Linked DNA regions of Arabidopsis thaliana. The protein of the gene in region 3 purifies or fractionates together with the protein of the main gene of each other region. This does not show direct contact. Each region holds a gene or a part of one and is shown on either strand. Other genes may lie near its edges.

What was found.
Region 1: the proteins of RanBPM (region 3) and AT1G61150 purify together in Arabidopsis thaliana (affinity purification with mass spectrometry; 2 studies listed by BioGRID, with this or other methods). This does not show direct contact.
Region 2: the proteins of RanBPM (region 3) and AT4G37880 purify together in Arabidopsis thaliana (affinity purification with mass spectrometry; 2 studies listed by BioGRID, with this or other methods). This does not show direct contact.

Annotation. Positions count from the first base shown.
Region 1 is NC_003070.9:22,540,568-22,546,237, reverse strand, and holds AT1G61150 (LisH and RanBPM domains containing protein), read right to left. Parts: upstream 3,742-5,670; 5' UTR 3,565-3,741; exon of another isoform or gene 3,376-3,564; 5' UTR 3,311-3,375; coding exon 3,257-3,310; intron 3,132-3,256; coding exon 2,972-3,131; exon of another isoform or gene 2,935-2,971; coding exon of another isoform or gene 2,871-2,934; coding exon 2,764-2,870; intron 2,665-2,763; coding exon 2,533-2,664; intron 2,402-2,532; coding exon 2,245-2,401; intron 2,005-2,244; coding exon 1,883-2,004; 3' UTR 1,220-1,882; coding exon of another isoform or gene 685-1,219; 3' UTR 577-684; downstream 1-576. Other genes in the region: AT1G61160 (retrotransposon gag), read left to right, coding at 18-46, 685-1,219; EDA16 (SNF2 domain-containing protein / helicase domain-containing protein / zinc finger protein-like protein), read left to right, coding at 5,628-5,670.
Region 2 is NC_003075.7:17,807,605-17,812,236, forward strand, and holds AT4G37880 (LisH/CRA/RING-U-box domains-containing protein), read left to right. Parts: upstream 1-2,032; 5' UTR 2,033-2,241; intron 2,242-2,543; 5' UTR 2,544-2,578; coding exon 2,579-3,745; 3' UTR 3,746-4,055; downstream 4,056-4,632.
Region 3 is NC_003070.9:13,050,616-13,057,060, reverse strand, and holds RanBPM (SPla/RYanodine receptor (SPRY) domain-containing protein), read left to right. Parts: upstream 1-1,967; 5' UTR 1,968-2,138; coding exon 2,139-2,530; intron 2,531-2,965; coding exon 2,966-3,112; intron 3,113-3,254; coding exon 3,255-3,341; intron 3,342-3,435; coding exon 3,436-3,481; intron 3,482-3,823; coding exon 3,824-3,900; intron 3,901-4,023; coding exon 4,024-4,186; intron 4,187-4,337; coding exon 4,338-4,406; intron 4,407-4,493; coding exon 4,494-4,553; intron 4,554-4,925; coding exon 4,926-5,012; intron 5,013-5,149; coding exon 5,150-5,425; 3' UTR 5,426-5,904; downstream 5,905-6,445.

The DNA.
Region 1 (5,670 bases), 9.5 Mb from region 3:
TTTCTTCATTCTCCACAATGACTAATGGAAGAAGTAATATCAATTTGTAAGTTCCTTAGATATTCTCAATTTTCTATTATCTATTTCACAATATCTATTAATGATTTTGATAAAATATATTAAGAAACTATATTATTTTCAATCTTTTAGCTTTCAGATTAGTTTGTTAGATTTTTTTTTTCTGTAATGATAAAGCATGAAATGAAAATCTTGTAAAGGATCATGATCAAAAGGTCTTTGCTCATTTTATATCAAATTGAATCAATTTTATTTTTGCTTAAAATATTTAAAGTTCAATAAAAATAGGTGAAGATAGATCTTTTTCAGACAAAATAAAATAAGATATAAATCTCTTTTCCACTATTCGACATTACGATTGCTTTATTCTATTTGATCCATTTCGAGTCATCATTTTTATACTCGAGTTTCATATAAATTATGTTTTCGCAAAATTCAGTTTTAATTTTGTTGAATTATAATGATAATTTATACTCCCTCAAATCCATAATATTTGATAATTTGTTAGAATTTTGATGTAAAGTTTTTTATTTAAATATATTAGATTTAGCATAGTCATGATTTTCTAAGATAATAAATTGTTTTTCTAACTGAAAACTATCCTTGTTTTCATATTTTGTAACAAATTATTAAATGTATAAAACTCGATGAATTATTGACCCGCAGGCAGACCAGGTCGATCAAGACATCTGGTGAACCAAAAAACTTTGAGCTCACAGGGGTAGTTGGGGAGGAGGATCAGCCACCCCGAGAAGCTTCTGAGCGCGGAGCCTTCGATGAGTCTAAGCTGGTTGACGTCAACATTGCCTTGAGCTGGGAAGCCTTTGAGGTGAAGCAAGGAACAGAGACAGTGCGTGAGTATTATAACGAGTTCCTTAAGAAGGTCAAGAACCTCGGAAGAGAGTTGGAGGAAGAGCAGCTGGCGTGTCTGTTCCAGGAAGGGCTACGCGAGGAGTTGCAGGAAGGGGTATGTGCAGCGAACTGCGGATGGATCCTTAATTATGTGTCAGATGTAGTTGATGAAGCTGAGAAGGTAGAGGCCAAACTTAGAAGCATCAAGGAAAAGGTGCCGCTCGTGTCTGAGGAGTTTGCAGATGTTGACTGCGGACAAAGCAATTTGGGCCGACCCGCATCCGAAGATGAGGTGGAGAGCAAACCCTCCAAATCCTATGATCCGGAAGACCATATCATGCAAGATTGAGATGGCTAGAGTCAACATAAGGTCTTGAGTCTTGTGGATTATGTTTCCTATTTTATATATCAAAAAGTTGCTATTACTACTTCCCTTTATTTACTTCGTACCATGTCATGCAAGATTCAAAGCTGTGTCAGTACCAAAATAATATTTTGCGAAGAAGAAGAAAAATCAAATGATGTTTCAGTACGGTTCGCAGAGATTCTCCATTTCGACGGTAACAGCACTCAATTCAATAGGTCATGTTGCTTTCTAGGTAAGTAGGAACCGTGCCAAGTTGATTCATTGATTCATGTAACTATACATGGGATGAATAAGCCATCTCTCTTGTTTACAATTCGAACCTTTTGGAACAAAAATATTCCTCAAAACAAACACAAAGATCCAAACAAAGTCGATAACTTCATTCAAATCAAATGCACGTATGCAATGAGTCATCAAATATGTTGATAATAAGAACATTTGACTAGAGTAATTCATTGCCTACAAAAGCTTATGTTCCCCTCCCCATATCCTAACGATTGCGGGTCCAACAAATCCCGATGCAGAAGAAAAGGAAAAGCAGAAAGCATATGAATTGTAAGTTATTGAGATTGACGGGAAGAGAAGAGAGCACCATTCATTGTTCCTTTTTGCTACTGATTTCCAATGGCTGAAAGAAGTACGGAATCATTCTGACGGGTCTTCGAGCTTACCGGTAGACAAATCATTAATGTGCGGATACACTGCTTTCTCGTCCAGTTGAGTTTGAGCCCAAATCAACATCTTCAACAAGCTTGGAAGTTTAGGATCTGTTTGTTCACAAACATTGAGTTGCTACATTAACCATGGAGGAAAATGGAAAGTTTCAAGAAGAACTTGGATGATACATGTTGTGGGTGAAGTAATGAATGAAAAATTTTACTTGTTATGTAGAGAAGAGTTGCATATACTTTGAATCTTAAGATTGATAATGAATGATGCTCGAGATTATAATGGTATTTTGTGGCTACTAAAAGACAACCAGTATAACATCAAAATTCAAAAGCTACCTTTTTCGTGGCTCTGGCTTGTAAGAATCGCTGCATTTACTTCACTTGCTGTCTTAAGACGGTGGGAAAGATCAAGAAGCTCTTTAACCGGGCAGGTAGAGGCATCGTCAAAAACAAGTAGGGCTACAGTTTTTTCCAATTCTTCCAGAAACGCTTGCTGCAGAGAGATATAACAGACTGTATGAATGAAGTTTCAGCAACAACAGATATTACACACAGTCAATGAGCAATACACATGGAAAACACCATCTTTAACGACAGAAATCAAAGTGAAATACAAAGACTTACGTTTTCTTCGCCACGTGGTGCAAGTTCCTCCTGAGCAAACTCTAAGGCCTCTTCTGTCTTCCCTTGTCGAATTAATTCTATCAACCTTTGCTGCTGAAGATGAAAAAAGAGCTCCGGATTCGTGTCTAGTATCTGCAAGCATGGGTTCAAAGAAGAATCAGATTTTGCTTCTTTATTACATCAGAAAAGTGAATGACTACTCTCCACACAAGATATGAAGAAGCATTGTACCTCAGGATTCAAATCATTAACTTTTTCAATCGCATCCTCGACATTTCCGTTTTGAACAGCCTTTTTAACAGCCATTCGATCAGTAATGGTCGCAAGATCTATCTCTGCTGTTTCTCGATAAGGAAGTTCAAAAGGAGTAGATAAGCTAAACATCAAACACACCAATTCCATAAACAAAAACTCAAAACCAGAATCAGAAAAAGGATACGTTTGGTTCCAGACTCCCTTTGGAATTTCTCAGCAGCTTCAACATATCCTTCAGTCACAAGAAAATTCATCACCAAAGTATTCATATCTTCTTTCCTAAGCTTCACAGCATTTAGTTTCTTCTCCCATTCTTCACGTGTGATCATTTTCTTCGAAGTAGCCTGCGACAAGCCACGATTAAAACTAGGTCACACAACGTGCATAAAGATTAAAGTTTTCCAAAAACCCATCATCAAGTTGTATCAAATAACACAAAGAACAGACTCATAAGAGGAGTCAAAATTACCATATCTTCGTCGTCTTCTTCAAGCTGATTGATAAAAATACGAAACAGTGACATTAGAACGCCAGTGAGGCTCTCATATCTTGAAATCTAATCTAATCCACTCAATACGAAATTAATACCTGTTCGAGCAACACTCCGATCAGAGCTATTTCCAAAAGAAATTGACTTTGTGATCAGATAGTGATACAAAGTAATTTAGGGCTTTAGTCAAAATTCAAGCTTTAATCTCAAAACAGCACAGGAGTGGTAGTTCTAAGAAAGAGAGAGTGTGCGACTATTTTCCTCAAAAATTGAATATAACGATGTACCTGGAGAAGTGGAGAATCTGGGGAAGATTATCTGGGAACGATTCTTGCAAATAATCCGGAGATTTGGCGATCGATTTGCTTCTAGATTGCTTGCGAAAGTCTCTTCCCTAAATTTACAATCTGATAAAACAAAAAAAAGTTGGAGGTTTTCGATAGAGAAGAAGAGATCGGGTTTAAATTATTAGGATGTTGACGAACCGTCGATGAATAATCCGGTTTAAATTATTAAGGGAACCGGTTTGTTTTTGGATTTGGTTCTTTATATACCGGATAGTATTATGTAACTCATTTCCAAATGATTTTAATACCCAAAGATTTTTAAACTATTTTACCTTTGAAGAACAAAATTTCGATTTAAAATCATAATTTTTTTTTATTTTTTTTTTTAAATCTTGGAGGTTGTGGGTCAAAGTCCGTAATCCCCCAGGCCTGAAACCACAGCATAAAATATTAGTTTCGTCCCAAGCGTCACTCGAACCGGCGACCTCTAAGCTTTGCATAAGGTCTTTACCAATTGAGCTAACGACACTTGGTTAAAATCATAATTAAATAAGACTGATGTTAAAAATCTCTATATTATTTGGAATTTGATACACAATTTAAAACCAATAACTGATACTCTATTATACTCTATTAAAATCAACTATTAGGTAACAAATATGTGACATAAACATTTTGCAGTCCGATGCAAAATATATCTTTCAATCTCAACAATATGTTTTTTCTTGGTCAACAATCTAACAATATGTTTAATTGCATCTTCAAACTAAAGTCCCAAAACATGTTTTGTTCTTTGCACATGGTTGTTTGTGTGGAACCACAATAAGACAAAGGATCGATTGCAGAATTTGAGGTCTTCTAGCTAGTTGACCGACTAAGAATCAATGGACCACTTATTCTTTAATATTATTTTTCCCAACTGGTTTGGAAGGACTTAGTGAAGAAGTTACACTAAAACTTCTCGAGTCAATCCTCATATGGTTTCTTTTGGCAATTCCTATCTCTGCAAAATCAAAGGCTCTTCATATCAATTAATATGGCAAGCAACTACTTTGAGACATGGCAAGAACGGAATTGTTGATCACATAATAAGCAAGCTCTTTCTCATCAAACTACCTACAAAGTTTTGCGCTCTACAAGATATTTGATCAATCATAAAAATGGTGATCTCGTATAATACTAGTCTTCTTTTAGGGCTAACAAATGATTCAGAAGATTACAAATGTGCTTTGTAGAAATTAGCAATATAGTGCTTTGTAGAATTTTATGACCACAAGATTGGTAAGATCATTTAGTCAAATATATGTTTTATCTCTTCTTATTGATTGAGATGATTATTTTTCTAATGAGTCGATCCACATGTCTAATTCCAATTGATCTTTGTGATTTAGTTTCATATTTGTTTTCTTTAACATATGAAATTTTTTTGTTAGTGTAGAAAATCTAATTTTCACACAATTAAAAATAATTTTTACAATAAATTATGATTAGCAAACACTTCAAAAAAATCTCCATTACTTAAACACTTCAGTTTCCTACTACTAATTAAAGTTGTTTCCTTTTGTTTAAATTGTGATTTTGCTTTAACAATAAAGATGACGGCGCATAAAATATAATTATATATAATCATGCATTATTAAATAATGAAAAAATGGAAAAAAATGAAAGAAAAAGAAAAACAAATGTTCGACCGTTCCTTATTTAAAGCCGGAAGTCCCATAGCCTTGTGGTGTTTACTTTTTCCAATTCGGAGAAAGCCAAAAGAGAGAACAAGGCAATAAAAAGAAGCCACCGTCGCTACAAAAAGTCGCGATTTTTATTTTCTCTATCCCAACTGCTCTCTACCTTTCCTCGAAAATTCCTTCAAAACCCAATTCTCAAGCCTTCTTCTTCGTCGTACCTGAAAATTCTACAATCTCTGGATCTACGCGTCTACTTCTGAATTTCGATTTGGGTTTCCCGGGAGCTGAAATTCCGTGACTTTTGGGTTTTCTGATTTAGGGTTTGTTCCTCTTCTCGTTCTTTCTCGGGTTAGTTTTTTTTTTTTTTTTTTGTGATTTTTGATGGGTGAGGAAGGTTCAATGTTTGGTCTGGGAGGTGAATTTC
Region 2 (4,632 bases), on a different chromosome or scaffold from region 3:
TTAAAAAGAGGTTTTCTAATAAAATGTGGCAATAATCGACGGTTTGGATATTATTTTAGTAGAAATCTTGTCATATAATTAATTTTGTATTAAAGCTAATATGAAAAAGGTGCAAGTCATAAAGCACCACGTACTCTCGTGCACAAAGTCTCACGGGATTTGCATTCTGATCACAAAGATGTGTTTACTACAACTCATTTTATGACCATAATTCTTGTTAATGCCTAAAAATTAATCCGATCCAACTTTAATAGTCTGGACCCAATCGGCCGATGGACTTTAATTACTATTGGTTTTATGAGTTTTGAAAATTCAAAAAGAATATAGAAAAGGTTAAGCAAACTTAAAGTCTTTCGCTGAATTGTAGCTTTTTAGGAATAAGAGTCTTTTTGTTATAAGAAAAAAAGTCTTCCGTTGGCACATATATTATCGCGATGGAGAGAGATCACGACTCACGCGAGAGACCCCCGTGAAAGTTTCATGACAATTTTTTTGGTTGTCGGTCTCGGCCGTGACCGATTAGATGTTCACATCAATGACCCACGTTCCAAAAAAGATGAATTAATTTGCATTTATAAATTCTAATCTATCATCGTTTCAACCATTTTTATATTCAGACCATACGGTAAACCATTTTAGACAACACCATTAGTCATATAGTTAAATAACGAGTAGGGCTACAAAAAAGAGAGTTGAATAGTTGTTCATTGAAGATCTTCTCGAATCTTGACATAGGTACTACTTGATAATGGAATCCAACGCTGTAGATTAACCATGTGCAAGGGAGTGGTTAATTAGTACTATTATATGTATGTACTCTCAATTTCTTTCACTTTTGAATGTTCATTGGTTCTTTCTCTTATTGATTATTTACATTCCCATTATAGATTCCAGTTTTGTCACCTTGTGGGGGAGGCCGATTCACTCTTCTCCTCTTCCCTTTTCTTGGATATCTCAATTCACAGTCCGCAAAAAGAGTTTCTACTGATGTCATAATTTAAACGCGTTATTTTCTCCTATATATTCGTTTTGGTGGGTTTCTCGTATTTTAACAACTATTGAAACAAATAAAATGAATCACACGAAAAAACACACTATAGAGTCTATATCTTCGATAACATATAACATACATGATTTGATGAAAGCAAACTGAGAAAACGTTTTTTTTTTTTTTTTTTTTTCTGTTTTGGTCAAAGAAGATGTTTTTATTTTATTTTATCAAATTATTATATAGTTTTAACTATATTTTTCATACGAGGACAGATTTTTTTTTGCATGTTTGATATCTTAATTTTTTGAAAAGTTTTGTGGTTTCTAGTACCCATAGTTTTCTATTTAAAGTGGTTTCATAAAACATTAAAATTCTGGTTTCGATGTAGTTTTCTATACACACTTTAAAGTGTTAATAGCACTATTTATAGACAGAAACGAAAATTCAACACTAATTGATTATGAAATTTTGGAATTGAGTTCTCACGAGCTTGTGATTATCTGACTTGGACGTTTTTATAAACTATTGTCTTTTTTTGTATCTTAATTTTCGTGGCTTTATTCAAAAGTTAAAAAAAAAAAATTAAAATAATAATAATCAGAAATTGAAATTTTAAATTTACATTACGTGTAAGCAGAATTAACTTATAATTTTTCATAAAAGCAAACAAAATTTTAAAGACTAAATGTCAAATTCAGTTTATTTTCATAGTTTTAAAATTTAACACAAATGTTTTTAAAAATATAATTCACTATTGATTTAAGGTTATTCTTAAATAATGTACAATTAGAAACTTTAGTTACTTCATTAACGGTAAGAAAAAGTTGCCGTTACACTCGTTACAACAGTCATATTTTGTTTTTCACTGCGTAACAATTTATCAAAATGTAAACATAGAGAAGCGGTAGTTGGGCCTTTTTCTCTCCTTTCAAAATATATAATGGGCTTTTTAGTTCACGGAAGACCTAGAGCTTGGAATCGTCTGTAATATACTCCACACTAAAGTATATCTAACACTAAACAAATCCAACGGCTGAGAGTCTTTTATTCACTATAACACGTGATAGTTCTCCCTAACTCGTAAGGATAATAATCTGAAGGAGTGATGAGAAAATATTAACGAAAAACAAAAAAAAAAAGACAGAAGACAAAAAAAAATCACGAAATCTGATTTTCCTCTCTTTTGCTCGAAGCCAAGTCTCTGCTTTTACTTTGATCCACCAACTTCATCTTCAACCTCTCGATTTTAGGTACGTTTTTCCCTTTCTTTGTGTATCTTAGAAGTCTTTTGATTTTCACGCTGATTCATTTCTGGAAGTTTTTCGATTTGGTCTTCATAGATTCCTGAAATCGTTAGTTTGAAATTGATTGAGATCTTTGATTCTATATAGAAAATTTATCTGATCTGTTTATTCTGGAATCAATTTGTGATTAGAGGAAATTGTGTCCTCTGTTTTAAGTTTCTGATTTTGGATTTGAAGATCCGATTTTTGCATCTTGATGATTCATTTCAAAAAATGTCTAATTTTGGTATGATTTTTGCTTGTCTCAGGTAAGATTCTTAGAGTGATTTTGACTTATCTAAGAATGGAGCTAAAGAGCATTAAGGATGCGTTTGATCGTGTTGCGACGAAGCAGAAGCTCTCTTATAGCAAAACTAATGAGATTGTTCATATGTTGTCTCAAGAAATCGATAAGGCTTTGAGCATATTAGAGGAGACACCATCATCAGATACTATGCTTCTTGATCATAGATCTATCCTCGCTGATGTGAAGAAAGTGTTTATGGAGATTGCTCCAATCACTCAACTTGAAGCTACTGAGAAAGAGCTACATGCGGCTTTGACCAAGTACCCTAAAGTTCTTGAGAAACAGCTGAATCCAGACATATCAAAGGCTTATAGACACAATGTTGAGTTTGATACTCATATCGTTAACCAGATTATCGCCAACTTTTTCTACCGTCAAGGAATGTTTGACATTGGTGACTGTTTTGTTGCTGAAACTGGTGAATCTGAATGTTCTACAAGACAATCTTTCGTGGAGATGTATCGGATACTAGAAGCTATGAAGAGACGAGATCTTGAACCGGCTCTTAATTGGGCTGTTTCGAACTCTGACAAACTAAAGGAAGCAAGGTCTGATCTTGAGATGAAGCTTCATAGTCTACACTTTCTGGAAATAGCACGAGGCAAAAACTCCAAAGAAGCTATCGACTATGCGAGAAAGCATATCGCCACGTTTGCAGATAGCTGCCTCCCGGAGATCCAGAAGCTCATGTGTTCTCTCTTATGGAACAGAAAACTCGATAAATCACCATACTCCGAGTTTCTCTCCCCCGCTCTGTGGAACAATGCAGTCAAAGAGCTAACCCGACAGTACTGCAACCTACTCGGTGAATCATCTGAAAGCCCGTTGAGTATAACAGTAACAGCGGGCACACAAGCGTTACCAGTACTATTGAAATACATGAACGTGGTGATGGCGAATAAGAAGCTTGATTGGCAGACCATGGAACAACTTCCTGTTGATGCGCAACTATCCGAGGAGTTTCAGTTTCATTCGGTGTTTGTCTGTCCAGTCTCTAAAGAACAGTCAAGTGATGATAACCCTCCGATGATGATGTCTTGTGGACATGTGCTTTGCAAGCAGACGATCAACAAAATGTCAAAGAATGGCTCTAAGTCGTCGTTCAAGTGTCCTTATTGCCCAACCGATGTAGACATCTCAAGGTGTAGGCAGTTGCACTTTTGAAACGAAAGCTCGGGAATTTGTACGACCGATATAAACTGGAACTAAGTTCTGAATCGGTGAAATCTGTGTCAAAATTGTAACCTTGTGGTGTTCTCTGTTTCTTTTTTTCATGAAGTTTTTTAAGTGATGGGGCTTTGGTGTACAAATTGATCAGGGGAAGTTTTTAGATGATTGGACATCCCATAAGAATGTGTTTTTGGTGTTGTTGCTATTTGTTTGTTAAACCTTTTGAATATAGAAATTCTTTACACTGCAAATTTAGTTTAGATTAGCTGGAACCCTGGAAATTAAGCTCTCTTTTAGAATTACTGGTCACATGGAAATAAAACAAATTGATTTTTGCTGCGCTCATCTGTTAAATAGAGAATCATGTCTTAGTTAATCTAATTTTCGTACAATCATTGTTTGGATGGGTTAGACACATATAACGCTACAATAGAAGTAGTTCTTGAGTTAGAGAATTAGGCTCTTTCTTTATTATATGTGAGGCAAATGTTGGTTTATTGTGTTGTTCGTCTCTTCTTTGGTTAGCTTAGACACTTTGGCCTTTTCAAGACTCGTATTGGTTTCTTCTTTGATTAGCTTAGAGAATTTGGCTGTTTCAAGACTCGTTTTGGTTAGCTTAGAGAATTTGAATTCCTAAACAAGATTTATTGGGCTTAGACCCCAAAAGATGGGCTTAAGCTTGCACTTGTGTATATGTCGATTCATACGTGTGTCTCGTTCATGCGAGTCAGCTTGGTTTTGAATCCACGAATGACGAGACCTATTCTTCTCAAAAGAGTACACAAAATATATCCAAGTTTAAATATACCAAAAGGCAAAAGCAATGAACCACGTTCCACGTATCAAAATTTTCTACTTCAATTTGACCGATTGACTAGAGT
Region 3 (6,445 bases):
ACTCCTAAACCTAACAATCTCTACAATATATTTAAGATTTTAAAAAATTTAGCAGCACTTCAATGTGCACACTATTTTATATGTATGTCTGCTATTGTTTTAACTCATTCAGTATTTGATTCATTTTCTTTCTTTATAAAAAAACAAGAACATAGAGTATAGATCCAAAATAGATTACAAAAACATAGAGTATGATCCAACGGATTTTAACATTGGGTGGATTAGCGTAGGATTATCGAATTTACTGATCCAATTGCGGAATTATATTGGAGTATGACACAATAAATTAAATACAGAAAATTACAAAATAAATTTTATTAAATAGAAAATATTATGATTATGATTTATGATGTAAACTATCAAACCAAAATTGCCACAAATATTTCCTCACGCTGCACATCGTGGATCCTTATCTAGTTTACCTTTAGATTTTCAAACCTCTAAAATTGAAATAATGTTTGATAATTTTCAATAATGCAAAAAAAGAATGAAGAAGAAATTCAATCAAAACAAAAGACAAACATATCACATATAAACTTCATTGTTCTGATGCTTCTTTGATTTAGCAATTTTGGGGAAAAATAAGTTCGAATGCAAAAATAAAGTTTGTAATTATTCAACAAAAAATTCGGGCATACCAATTTTTTTTCTTTCTTTTAATCGTTTGAATGCAATTTTTTTGTTCGGAATATGAACATGGCATGTAGAAAGATGAAATGCTTGCTAGAGCGTTGAAGTTTAGAGAAGCGTTTGTTAGCATGAAAGCTTTTGATACCAATGATAAATTTTTGATCTATTGAAACCTTTTAGTGTTATTATCACTTACTTTTTAGGCTCTAAGTATCCCACATCCAATGTATACTTTACACAAATATGGAGGATTGAGTTGTTGCTGAAGAAGTATGCTATTTGTGATGATGATGTTGTTGAGCAAGTGGCTCAAGAGATGCATGGTAAATTTTCCGAGTATTGGGAAGATTATAGTCTCATTTTGGCTATGAGAGCAGTTTTGGATCCGAAGCTTAAATTGAAGATGCTTGAAGTAGCTTAAAAGAAAGTAAATTCTACTACTTATAAGTTAAAAATTAAAGGGCTCGAGAAGAATTTGATGATATTGTATAAAGTTGGAACTTGGTGAATTAACTTAATGTGAGTTTTTGTAACATAAGATCTATTTGAACTAGAAAGAAGTATTGAAGACGGTGTGAACAACACAAAGACACACTTGGATATTTATTTGGATGAGAGTGAAAGTCTTTTTCGAAATTTGGATGTCTTAAGCTATTGGAAAGATAATCAGAATCGATTTGGCGGTTTAGCTTCTATGACATGCGATGTCCTTAGCATTCCTATTACTAAAGTAGCATCAAACTCAGCTTTTAGCATTGGATCGAGGGTTTTGACTCCATATAGAAATCGCTTGCTTCCAGAAAATGTTCATGTTTGCTTTGTACTCGCAATTGGCTACGCAAGTTTGTTGACTATGAAGGTAAGAGTTTTAAATTGAAAGCTTTATAGGTAATTGAATTATATTAATTAAATTTCATTGTAAATTGTAGGTACCACAGAAGATACCAATGAGTTTAACCATGGAGATACTCGAAAGACTACAAGTAGTTCGAGAGTAGAAGGTTCAAGATCGGAAAAATCAAGTGTGCCATGAAACTTTTGTTTTTTCTCTTTTGTTTTTGAAATATTTTTTATTTTAAGTTTTGTTTTGGTAATAAAACCACTTTTGATATTAAAAGTCTTTATGAATCACATTTGATAAAAACATGGATTTGATTTTACATTTTAAAAGTGTGTATGAATTAAATTTGATAAAACATGGATTAATTTTACATTTTATAAAAAAGTTTGTGTTTTTTTATGAATTGAAACAGCCAACTAATTGGTATATAACTAAATATTATTTATGAAATTTATATAGAGAAATATATATAAGAAAAAAATAAGTCTAACAAATACCGAAACTAGCGGGTCACAAAAATAAACAACGGATCAAAAAATAAATCAAAGAGAAGAAGAAATCTCAACAAATTCTCTAATTCAGTGTTCTTCTTCTTATAGACTCCAAAAACCTCTGAAGAGCCTAATCTCAAAATTTCTAGGGTTTTCTCTAATCGGAACCAAAACCAATGAACTCTTCACCACCACCGGCGAATTCCGCCAACGGCGATACAACCAACAACGGCGAGAACGGTCAAGATCTGAACTTAAACTTCTTAGACAAGATTCGTCTCTCCGCTAAACGAGATGCGAAGGAAGACGAAGGAGAAGAATTACCGACGGAGTTGAATACGATCAATAGCGCCGGCGGATTTCTTGTGGTTTCTCCTGATAAGCTTTCCGTGAAGTACACGAATACGAATCTACATGGTCACGATGTTGGTGTTGTTCAAGCTAATAAACCTGCTCCGATCAAGTGTCTTACTTACTACTTTGAGATTTTTGTTAAAGATTCTGGTATTAAAGGACAAATTGCTATTGGTTTTACTAAGGAAAGCTTCAAAATGCGTAGACAACCTGGGTATTGTTTTCTTTATCTTTGGATTTTGGATCCAATCTTTGTTGATCATTGTGTGTTGAAGTTGTTTAGGGAAGAATCTGAATTTGAAGGATTTAGTTCAAGAAGTATAGTTTTAGCTTGTAGCTTGATCATTGTTGTGTTTAAGGTATGGTTTATTTTAGAAATTGAGGTTTGTGGTATGGTTTTGGGATCCAAGTTGTGGTTTAGTTATTATAGAGATTTAGCTTCTTGGATTAGGTTGTGTGTGTTCTTTCTGGTGAGTTCAGTTGTGTAGAAGTGGTTTAGGGAAGAATCTGAAATTCGAAGGACATTGCTTTGTGGTTTATTTGAAAGCTAGGTTCTTGAGTTTACAAATATGGATGATAGTGCCTTTGAAAGAAGCTTTATCTGCCTAATACTTGAATTTGAGGTTATAGTTTTCTTTTGTAATGGTAGATGGGAAGTGAACAGCTGTGGATATCATGGGGATGATGGATACCTATATCGTGGACAGGGAAAAGGTGAACCTTTTGGTCCAAAGTTTACAAAAGATGATGCAGTTGGCGGTGGTATAAACTACGCTTCTCAGGAGTTCTTTTTCACGTAAGAAAGAAACTGTTTCATGTTTTTTGGTACTTAAATAAGTTCATTACTACTGTGAGTTGAATTCATGATTCATTCATTTTCCTGTTACTCTTTGTCTGTTAAAGCTGATGACATTTTTGATTATTTTTGTTGGTGCCAGTAAAAACGGAACTATTGTTGGGAAAATCCCCAAGGACATAAGAGGTCATCTATTCCCTACTGTAGCTGTACATAGCCAAAATGAGGAGTATGTTCTCACTCTCTCTTTAAAGATCAATACCATTGCCATCATGTATCTCACTCTCTCTTACACAAAGCATATTTTTCTGAAATTTTGGCAGGGTATTAGTCAATTTTGGGAAGAAGAAATTTGCTTTCGATATTAAGGTAAGAGGAAAAATCCTTTCAAACGTGGTTAATTAGGTCTCATAGCTTTATACTAAAGTAAGGATGGTGTAACCAGGACTACTGCTATTGAAATCACATAATAGGTATGCCTCATGTCCGTTCTTGGTACTGGGGTTACCGAATCTATAGCAGTGGTTCTCTTTGTAGACATTGCTCTCACATTTGCTATTTTACTGTTCCTGTGTAATCAAACCTCAAACTCTTGGGCACTCAAGTTATAATCTTTAAACACTGAAGTAGGGCATAAAAATTCTTTCCATTACATATATGTTTGAAATTAAGTAATTGACGAGGGCTGTTTCCCTCTTTCTGTATTATTAGGGATATGAAGCATCAGAGAGGAATAAGCAACAATTGGCTATTGAAAAAATATCCATACCTCCAAACATTGGTTATGGGTGAGTACACTCCTTCCCAGCAGTAACAGATCATGTACTTTTTTAACTTTGAATTGCAATACTTGGTTTCCCTTCTGGACTAGCTTTCTGCTTTATCTATAATTTTGTTTTCTTTATCATTAGGCTTGTCAAGACCTACCTGCTACACTATGGGTATGAGGAGACACTCGATGCTTTCAACCTTGCTACTAAAAATACAGTTCCTCCAATTCATATAGATCAAGAAAATGCTATTGACGAGGATGATTCATCCTATGCTTTGAAACAGAGAAAGAATCTTAGACAGGTATTGAACTTGCTACGGTTTAACATATAAGACATGTTATCTTCTAACTTTATTAGGCTTGTATCTGGCTTTTTTTGGTTCCTATTCAAACCCATACTAAATTACTGCTTCGTTAGTGAATTTGGACTGATTCATTCTTTATTGGGTGTAGCTTGTTAGGAATGGTGAGATTGATACTGCTTTGGCGGAACTCCAAAAGTTGTATCCCCAAATTGTACAGGTGAACTGAGATTTCTTATCATATTGTTGAGATGATCCACTTCACAGGATTGTGATACGAAGTCTTACCCGGCTGTACCTACTGCAGGACGATAAATCTGTAGTTTGCTTCCTCCTTCACTGTCAAAAGTTTATTGAATTAGTACGGGTATGCTCTTCATTCCTTAACCATCTAAATTTCGTGTTCTTAATACTTGTCAGAAATATTCTCTCTCTGTGCATATAAGAATAAAATTTTTGTAATTAAGGAAGCTTTTGATGGATTTGGTGTCTCATACAAAAATTAGCTGCTTGAACTGTGTGATGGACTTTGGTGTTAAACCATAAACTAGTGAAAAAATGCACAGAACCTATAACACACTGGAAACCATGTTACATAGATGCATGGAACCTTGTCACCGTGTATAAATATCACCTTAAGTTAGTTCTCTGGATTATTCCTTCTTTGTTCACTTTCACATCTATGCAGATGGGGCTATTTCTCTAACTATATGGTTTTGGAAAAACATGGCATAAACAGGTTGGAAAACTTGAAGAAGGTGTGAACTATGGCAGACTCGAGTTAGCTAAATTTGTTGGGTTAACTGGATTTCAAGATATAGTCGAGGTACCAATGTCTCCTTTACTCCTTTTTCTTTCAAGCAAGATCTGGTTTCTGAGAATATGTATGTATTGCGTTCAGATACAGAGACTATATATGTTGCTGCTTCGCTTAGGAACTCTATTTTCTTGTTGATTATTCAGGACTGCTTTGCTTTGCTCGCGTATGAAAAGCCTGAGGAATCATCGGTCTGGTATTTCCTAGAAGACTCACAGAGGGAATTAGTGGCTGATGCGGTGAATGCAGCAATACTATCAACAAATCCAAATAAGAAAGATGTGCAGAGAAGCTGTCACTTGCAATCCCATCTAGAGAAACTGCTAAGACAGTTAACCGTGTGCTGTTTAGAAAGGCGGTCACTGAATGGAGACCAAGGTGAAACATTCCGGCTTCGACATGTTCTTAACAACAACAGATAAAGAAGATGAAAATGGCTTAGCCGCGCATATATTTTGAAAACTCTGTTTTTCTATGGTCGTTATCATCATAAGTGGCTTTTGTTCATTACTTGTGTGATATTATGTTGAACTTTCCATTATGTAAAGGAGAAAGTTAGAAAAATGGGTTCGACGTTAAGACACTGGGACTTCCACTGTTATTGGTTCTTTAAAGTTTAGATGATTCAAATTAAGATTTTCAACATTCAAATCAGAAATGGAAAAACTGAATTAGCGGTGGGGGTGTTCGGGTTTAGCGGTATCTTTCGGGTTTTGTAACTTTTGTTCGCTTGGGGTTACCTGAAATTATTCTCAAAAAGAGATTTTATGGTAAACAGAAATTTTTATGAAGAGAATCTTTAATTTTTTATTTTCTTTTCATAATTTCATGTGACGATGTATAAATGTTATGATGGTAAATAAATATTATTGTAAATTATAATCAGTTTTAAACAATCGAGAAAAAACAAATTCTTGTTTAAAATGTAAATTTAATAATTATAATTACAATTTTCACATTTTCAAAATAATAGTAAATATGAAATTTGACCTATCCAATAAAAGCCCAATAACTAATGTAAATAGAGTCTATATTGATCATATTTAGCTTCATCCAATGCTTTTGTGATTAAAAACCCACGTGAAAAAAGGCAATGAGTCCCACATCGGATGCGAAAGCAAGAAAAAATGAAAGTTTGGCTATAAATAGTTAAACATACCGAGTGTTGAACATATATATTTTTCTCATGCTTTGGTTGAAGGTGGCAATAACCTCAAATATATCAGAGGGTGTAGATACTCAACGACTATAGGAGGCAATAACTTGAGCAAACAATTGATTGCAGAAATCCATCGACTAAAGCTGTCACCTGTTTGATTCCAGCTTTTGTCTCCTTACCTGTTGAGTGTCTAAACTCTCTGGTACGTTCATAGTTGTTGCTGCCTTTCGCTTTTTTTTTTACTACACGCAATTGTTTGAAAGAAATATTTCATGTGAATTTT